Sus scrofa: one gene and its partner. The protein of the gene in region 2 interacts with the protein of the main gene of each other region in a pairwise test. Links are inferred from orthologs where the notes say so. Each region holds a gene or a part of one and is shown on either strand. Other genes may lie near its edges.

Region 1 (4,373 bases), on a different chromosome or scaffold from region 2:
GAAAAGGGACAGAAGGAAAGGGCAAAATCTCCTAAAGACAGAGAATTTAAAAGTCATAAGTAATCAGAGAAAATTTCAAAAATGTATCTATCACATTTTAAGATGCTTATTTCCTGAATGCCCCTTTGATGTGAACTAATTTCATTTTCAGGCTTACTTGCAGATATAAGGTATTCTTATTCGAAGTGTGGCTTATTACAAACAAGTACCTTAAGAAACTTTTGTTTGTTGAGTCCCAGAAAGAAATATATTTTACTTTGTATCTCAGTACATACATAAGTATAAAGAAGAGACACAAGTTTCAGGAAACCATGCTCACCCTTGTCACAGGAGATGAACTCTATATTTTCTATCTGTTTCACCTTATTTTTTTAAATGTAGCTTGTGCCCTCTAAATTGGTTTCAGAACCCAGAAGTGGCCTCACGGCATTTCCAAAAACACTGTCAAGTCCTCTTAATAGATCATCCCCAGGTAATACCCACTCTCTAAGGATCTACAACACTGTATCTACGTGGAAAATATTTTGATAGTGTTAAGACAGCAGTAGAGTTAAATTTCTGTACATTCCAAGTGTTTCTAACAGGTGTAACCCCTTTTGGTGTTCAAAAAACATCCGTGGCTGACAGAGTCAATTTTATCCTCTTGAGAGACCCCAGAGCCTGATCTTTGATTCCACTTCTCCCATGTCGTCTTCCCTGAAATCTTCTGCCTGCAGGGAACCCTCCCCCCCCCGCTTTTTTTTTCTTTCTCCAATATTGTCTCTAACAGAAATAACACCTTAATTTGTCTGGATCTTTCTTTTACACTTATACAACACACAGTTTAAGGTTTATAATACCCCCATGCCATCTTTCTCACTAATGTTTAGACTTTTGCTTTGTCTAAGTTATGGTTAAGGGTTGTGGTCCCATACACCTTCAGTAGCTTCATGGACCCAAGCCCCATCCTCCTCTCAGAATGCCAGCTGTCAATAAGCGATGTAGGATGCCCTAGGATTAACCTTCAACAGAAAGATCTCCCTGTGCTTCCTCGATCAACAGAATGCAGAGAACAACAATACCCTCCACTCGGCAAAAGACCCTCCCTGATTCAATGTTATTGCCATGATTTGGCTACAACAGGGAAATTCTCAATGCTTGGCCCCCGGAAGTTGACCATAAGAGATATTCAAACAACTTTAATAATTCTCTGCTTGTTTACACCAAAAGAGGGTAATGAATGTTATGTAAGAGAGTTCTTATGGGAGGGCATGATCAGGTGTTGGCCGATCAGCAGCTGCTGGAAAGAAGGGAACTACTGAACCCAGGACAATGTCAAAGCACAGAGTGAATATTCATATTTATGTCTTGAACTCAGAAGAGTTCTTGTACAGGTTTTGTTTGCATTACTGTGTATGTGTGTTAATTTGCAAAATTCCTCTCCCAATTGCCCTGCTACCTTTCCTAGTCACATTTTTTTTTTTACAGCTAAATACATCATTCCTACTTAGATCCCCAGAATCAAGGGACTGTAGAATATTCTCTTGCAGTGGGGCGGTGCTGTAGGGTTTGAATGCATGGTGACTCACACACAGCCCTCTGGGTCACCAGACTGGAGGTGGCAGGGAAGGGGGGGGAGCGAGGAGGGGAGAAAGAGCCTGAAAAACAAAACCCCTAATAAGGTCTGGTTGGAGAACCAATCTGTCCCCGGACCCTGTCCCATGAAAGCCCCCAATCACATGATTTAGGTGTCCCTAAAGTCCCCTTAGGGTGAGAAATGGGAGTTCAAAATAGGACAGAAACACACGCACCTTTTGCCTAGTGCAATCTCTCCAGGGCAGGGATCACAGAACGGATGGGTGTAGGTTGCCGTCCCATTCACAGGGCACCTCTGTCGTCTGAGTGCTTAGGAGAAACTCGGACTGCCCCGGAAAGTGTTCTGTGTTGTTGTCTGGCTTTCTTCCCGTCCTATTTGGTTGCTGTTGCCTTTATTTCTTTTGCTGAGTAAACAGTGTTGGTAACCTGGACGGTCCACGACCACCTTGCAGTCTCAGTCTCGGGACACGGCGAGATGTTGCTCTCTTAGCCCAAAGTCCCTTGAACAGAGTTAGGAAAAAAAGTGTCCGCTGCTGCCTTGCTCTATCCAGCGGTGGGCTAAAGGATGTTGAGGGCTGTGCGTCCTTGGAACCAACTTGCCCGCCTTCCAGAGCGCTCCAGCCGGCAGGAGTAGCGCCCTGCCCGGAATCAGATTGTCCCGGGCTCCTCCTGGCATCAATGGCTTTAGTGGGGGAGAGGCACTCGAGACCCCCGTCTTCCTCACCTCCTCACTGTGCTCACTCCCCGTCGTAGGCTACTGTGCCCACCAGCAGCCCCTACATGAAGGGAGCTGTTCCCCTCAATCCAGTCTGCGCCTCCAGCCCCAGACAGCTGCCCAACTCTGAACGCTCTGGCAACACTTTGCGGACCCCCCAGCCCCTCTTCTTACCTCCTGCCTCCCAGCTCCTTCCCTTGCTTTCTCTCGGCACCCCAGTTCCTAGACAAACGTTTTCCCACCCATCTCCATCTCACTTTCACCACCTCGCCCACTGGAGACCCTCTCCACAGGCTCCCAGGTGGTGCTGTCCCCCAAGCAGCGGCTGAAGGAGCCGGGGTGGCACGGTCTCTAGGGGTGGGTTCTTTTGGAAACTCACCTCCCTCCGGAATTTGCGTCCTCTGGGGAGGGGGACAAGGCTCCTAGAAAGCTATCTCCCTGTACACTATGAATCCCCCAGCCCAGACTGTCACCCCCTCCCCAAGGTCTAACTCGGGTCCCTCTCCTGCTTCTCGTGTTTACGCCGCTTTTTACTCTTGGGGTCTCGTGGGGTGAGCCCCCGCGGGGACTCGAGCTAGGCAGCCGTGCGGGTGCAGCCCCACTCGCGGGCCAGGGCGAGAGGGGCTGGCGCGTAGGCGCTCAGAGCTCTCCTGCTCCCCCTCCCTCTCCAGGGACAGGAGCGGGCTGACGGGGGCGGGAGAGTTCGGGGGCGGGGGGGCTGGCGCTCATCAATTCCGCTGCCACCTCCTCTGCTGCCCGGGAGGAGGGAGAGCGGGCAGGGAGGGGCGGGGGAGCGGGCAGGAGAAGACTTAAGTCGGGAGAAGTTTGCGCAGAGCTCACAGCTGGGAAGGAAGGCGCCGGGAAGGTGAGCCTCTTGGACTTTGGGGAGGTGGGAATCAAGCATGGGGATGAAGCCCTTGCCTTTTAGCCTATATACTAGCTGGGGCTAGGTGTAAATGATCACTTAAGGCAGAATTAGAGTGTCAGGAAATCGGGAGAAGGGCAGGAGAGGGAGCGCTCCGGACTAATGTACTTTGCTCTTCACTAGGACGGCCAGCCCCCCAGACCCTGGGAGGGCTGCGCCGCGCCTTTCTCGGACCTTCCTGGGCTGGAGAGGTGCGCGCCGTCCGCACCTCGCCCAGGGGCTGGAATCTCCAATCCAGGAGATGCGCGCTGGAGCCTGAGTTCCTGAGTCTCTGGAGCCACCACCTGCGAATGACCTTCGCTTCCACTGAGCTGTGCCCGGCAGCCCAGTGAGACTGCTCCAGGTAAGGAGGGTCTTGGAATGAGCTGGGCTTTAAGATTTAGGATGTTCTCTAGGGGATGGTTAACAGTGGAGATGCGCCAGATACCTTGTTTTTTTGATGACAAAACTGCACTTTGATTGTGATGTTTCAGGTTCTGATTAGGGTCGACTTAGTCTCAGTCACCTCACCTTAACATTGATTAAAGAAAAGCTCGTTGTCTAGGAAGGTACTAAAACTTAGGGTTTCATATTGACAAATCCTAGGATTTTGTGTGAGTTTTACTTGCCGTTAATATAAATTTTCCTCCAAAAGTTTTATTCTCCTGCTTCCTGGGTATGAAAATTAGACACTGAAAATTGTGGATTTTTTCTAAAAGGTATTTATTAACTCATAAACAGATAATATCGGCATCTATGTGATGTGTCACAGTTGTTCTAGATATTGGAAATGAGTACAGTGGTGAATGGAGTTGCTTCTTAAGTCATGTTTTACAGAGAATTATTTTCCAACAATCATTTATGCATAGCAGCCATTCTTCACACCTATTAGGAAAAATATGTTGTGTGCGTAGTTTCCAAAAGGGTACTCTTTTTTCATGATGCTCTTCCCAAGCCTGGGTGAAAGACATCATGAAAAGCTCTCACAAATTAGTTCTCCTTCCCTAAACATTCATTTTCCTTGAGGTCCAAGGAAATCCAGTCAGAGTCAAAAATCAACAATCCAATTAGATTTTTAACCCATTATTTAGACTTTATTTTGCAGATCTACCTAAGAAAAGCTCTATCTAAAAGCTTTAAGCTGGTATTACATAGTACATTCAAGACTAGAAGGCAGTG
Region 2 (4,371 bases):
CGTTACCCTGTTCCTTCTCCTCCAAACACCAGTGTCAGGGTAGTCCTTCCCCAAAAGCCGTCTCCGTGCCTCTAAGACCCAAGCTTTCCGATTCCCTCTCCCCATTATCGCTCCACAGCTGTCCTCCATCACCACCCCCACCGGCTCACCCCGGGCAGAGAGGGTGATCAGAAGTAAAAACATTGCTGAAATACCGGTTCCCCTCCAAAGACCAAAGAGCAGAGCGACGCAGATGTTGAAATTTACCAATCCCCCCCGCCCGTCAACACACACACAGGGTAACCCGGGATGAGAGTCCCCGGCCGGACTCTGTCTGACCGTCTCTTTTGAGGACGGTGCCACATTCCGCACTCTGGGAATGCTGAAGGGAGGCAGAGGGAAGGTTCTGCGCCTCCCTTCTGTTTTGGGGCTGTTCACTTAGCGCGATTGTTGTTGTCTCCCTCTCCACCCGGGAAATCGTTACAGCCCTTGCCGCCTTGGGGAAAGGTAGCAGCTGGAGAGGAACGCGGTTCGCTCTCCTCTTGCAACTTGACACACACACGCCCCGTCGCCACTACAAACTCCGCAGGCAGAGCCTGCAGCGGGCGGGCTGGTCGCGCGCTCCCCCCAGCCGCTGCCCGGAGCGCCCATCAGACGCTGAGCGGCGAGACCCCAGAGCGCACCCCTCTGCCCGGAGCTGGCTGGGTAAAGCCCCGAACCCGCAGCGCGATGCCAGGATGAGGCATTTCCAGCCGGGAGAAGAGAGAGTCGCCAGGGCAAGGACGCGAAATACGCACCCGCTCCGGCCAGAGCGGAATAAAAAGTTCGCCCCGCGGAGACTCACCCACGCCGTATTTCTCGTGCTCTGTAGGTATCCACATGGCTAAAGAGGGGTTCGGGGTCTTCGGGCTTTGTAATCCCCTCACCCCTTCTCCAGCTCACAACAATGCACAGCTCCGGAGTAGCGTCTGCAGCGCTGGAGCCCGGCGGCTCCGCGCGGGCTGCGGGCGCTGGGCAGGGTCTGCACTGGAAGCTCGCGAGTCCGAGGTTGACACCGCGCGGCCGAGGCTGCGCCGCCCGCCGCTCTCCAGGCGGCGGCTGCTCACAGTCCTCCGACGCGCTCCCGGGAACCCAGCGGCGCAGTCATTGTTCTGATTCACTGAACTAAGCGAACACGCCGGGGCACTCTCGGGCGCACCCCCGCCCGCCAGCGCCTCTTCCAGCCCTCCCTGCCCAGAGCCTGCGCAGCACACTGGGAATTGTAGTTCTGGGTCTCTCCATCCCGGAAGGGGGCGTGGCACTAGCATGTAGGGCGGGGTTATGTTCTGATCGTCACGTCCTATTGGCCCAGAACGTGACGGCACGGCGTGGGAGTGGAGGAAACGCCGCGTCGATGGGGACTTCGTTTCTAGGCGCGTTTCCATTGGTTGCGCTCCTGCCCGTGACCCTCCCTTTTTTCTTCAGCCGCGTAATGGCTGCTCCCAAGACCCAGGGGGCTGCTCCCCAAAAGGAGGAAGACGGTGATGGCAGCAGCGGCGGAGCCGGAGTTTTCACTTATGAGGGTGAGTACAGTACCTCTGAGGTGCAAGTGGTTTATTTTCCTTTTTCTCCCACCTAGAGTGCAGCTGACTGCGGGGCGGACCCCAGCTCTAAGGCCACCTGGGGGCGCGAAGGGGCCACATGAGGGGCCCCGAGGGACATGGTGGGGTGGGCGGCGGCAACTTGAAGGGGTCTTTCTGAGAAGGAAGAGAAAATGGGATGGAATGGCTTTTCCGAAGCCAAGGAAGTTCTCTGAGCGTTTATCCTGCCTTTGGAGCTCGCACCTTTGCGCTCTCTGCCGAGTGAGTGGGCGTGGGTCAGGTCAGGTTCCGGCCTGTGTGCTGTTAACTCTGGGATTAGCAGCGTTTTCTTCGCCAGTACCCTACCCCCGCTTCGATTTGCTTGCTTTGGCCTCTGAAGATAAGTTTTATTTGGGTTCGGGCGGATTTCCAGTTGCAGACTGGTCGCTGCCTTGCACGCCCCAGATTTTCTCAGTGGCTGGCTCGTGCAGCCTCTGAAGGGAGAGTGTGTGGCTCTCAGAGCTTCTCCCGTTGCTCATTGACTGCCCTTGGCATTCTCCGGGATTGGTGGAGCTGGGTCCTTGGAGCAAGAGGAAAGAAGCGGCAATTGGCTCTCGTGGCTTGAGAGAAAATCTTCACAGCTTCTTTGGCTTTACCTAACTTTCAAGTTGTCCTTTTATCCGGTGCAGAGGGCAAAAAAATCAAACTTTGAAAGCTGCTGGGGGATTATCTTTAGAATTCCTAGCCCAATTCTTTTACCTTTAATCTATATATTTATCCCCCACCTGACTCCCTTCTTTTTTGATTTGATATGTAACTTAACACAGCTAGTTGTCTTTTTCTAATGGACATGGTTTGGAGCTTCATTTTAGTTCTCCATCCTTATTGCGGTTTTGTAAAATTTCTTTCTTTGCTTTTGCATTCGTGGTTAAATTGACATTTTTGTCTTAGCACACAGACTGTGCTATGTCTTCCCACTTCCCATCCTAGTGGAACCTCCTACCTCTGAAATTATTTCAGCACTTCTGCCAAAGAAATCTTTGGTAAGCTCCGTACTTAAATATTGAGTTATATCCACATCCTAAACAATTCATTCCAGGGTTGGCCATATAGTCAGATCTTATCTAACAGTAACATACTCTTAAGGTTTTCCAGCTTCTCAAAATTCCAGAGGGTTACGTGTTTGAACATTTGAAGGTGGAATCCTTTGTAAATTGATCTCATAGATTAACTCATAAAGAAGAAAATGGTGTGCCTTTCAAAAACATTGTAAAACTTTTAAATATCATTACTTGTTTTTAAATTATAAAACTTTTCATTATAAACTGTTCAAACTGTTCAGAAATGTGTATGGTAAAAAACTGCAACATTTCAAAGTTTCCCCATCACACACAGTCCCATTCCCAAAGTAACAACTTTTACAGGTTTGGTGTGTGTTCTAATATATGGCTGTGTGACACACATCTGTATAGTTTTGGGGGTTTTTTTTAAATAAAAAGGGCTCATTCCGTGTAAGCATAAAGATCTGTCACCTTCTTTCTCACAATGATCTGTTAGAGACATTCTTCTACATCAGTACATTTATTGATTCATTCTTTTCAAGGACTATGCCCGTAGTATTCCATAGTATGGACATACCCTACTTCAGCTTTTCCTCTGTTAATGAACGTATACTGTAGCTTTAGTTTTTCAGTAATGTAGCGAACAACTTCACATACATGCTTGTTCACCAGGTGTGTATTTCTTGAGGAATTGGGTCAAAGATGACACACATTTAAAATTGTGGTAGATATCAGATTTTCCTCTTAAAGAGTGTATATAAACATTCCTACCAGTAGTCATATGAATATTCTTTTCTCCATATACTTACCAAACTGTGATGACCAGCATTAATTCAGGATGAATTTTTAGATAACTATTAGATTGAATTGAGTAACTGATAGGAAGCGTAATTTTAGGTTCCAATTTTACAACGAAGATATTGAGCAGCAGAACTGCCTAGTAGTCTCACTGATTTGTAGCAGTCAATGGAAGTTTAATGGTTGATTTTTATGTTGTTTTTATATGTGTTAAGGTTGTCATTAAAAATTCTCTTCAGAGTTCCCGTTGTGGCGCAGCGGAAACGAATCTGACTAGTAACCATGAGGTTGCGGGTTCGATCCCTGGCCTTGCTCAGTGGGTTAGGGATCTGGCATTGCCATGAGCTGTGGTGTAGGTTGCAGACGTGGCTCGGACCCTGCGTTGCTGTGGCTCTGGTGTAGGCCGGCAGCATGGCTCTGATTCAGTGCCTAGCCTGGGAACCTCCATATGCCATATGCTGTGGGTGCAGCCCTAAAAAGCAAAAAAAAAAAAAAAAAAAAAAATCTCTTAATAACCTGTTTATTATCCTGTGACTTTACCAACATTCTTTTACAAGCCTGCAAAGTGTGATACAGGTTTTGGTGGAAATAATGTAGATTCATATTTTTCTGTTAAAGCAACTACTTCAGTTATCAAAAATGTCTTCCCCTATAAAATCACTGATTTCTTGAAAAATGCCTCTTTTAACAGGTTTCTCTCTAATTAAAATATCAATCTGTGTATTTATATTATGAAACAGAAGGGACTAGGGAGTCTTTTTATAGGAATCCTTGCAATTCTACAAATTTCTGCTAGAATGAGTCACTGGGTAGTATGCATGCAGGTTCAGCACCTTCCCTGAGGTCTGTGTGTCATACTTCCTGAGGCACCATCTCTTTCCAGGGAAGGCCCTAATCTTCCACAACACTGCTTTCCAACCATTTGAACAGTAACTAGCATTTCATATTGTCCCCTAAAATTAAGAACAGGTAAT

What was found.
Region 1: the proteins of ZNF277 (region 2) and GNGT1 interact in a two-hybrid assay, tested with the Homo sapiens proteins (3 studies listed by BioGRID and IntAct). The two-hybrid records come from large-scale screens. The link is inferred for Sus scrofa from reciprocal best matches to the Homo sapiens genes ZNF277 and GNGT1.

What each region holds. Positions count from the first base shown.
Region 1 is NC_010451.4:73,402,190-73,406,562, reverse strand, and holds the start of GNGT1 (guanine nucleotide-binding protein G(T) subunit gamma-T1), read right to left. Parts: upstream 2,917-4,373; 5' UTR 1,791-2,916; intron 1-1,790. UniProt on the Homo sapiens protein: Guanine nucleotide-binding proteins (G proteins) are involved as a modulator or transducer in various transmembrane signaling systems.
Region 2 is NC_010460.4:33,420,056-33,424,426, reverse strand, and holds the start of ZNF277 (zinc finger protein 277), read left to right. Parts: upstream 1-1,320; 5' UTR 1,321-1,372; coding exon 1,373-1,541; intron 1,542-4,371. Other genes in the region: DOCK4 (dedicator of cytokinesis protein 4), read right to left, coding at 824-860. UniProt on the Homo sapiens protein: Probable transcription factor. Involved in modulation of cellular senescence; represses transcription of the tumor suppressor gene INK4A/ARF, perhaps acting via the Polycomb group (PcG) complex PRC1.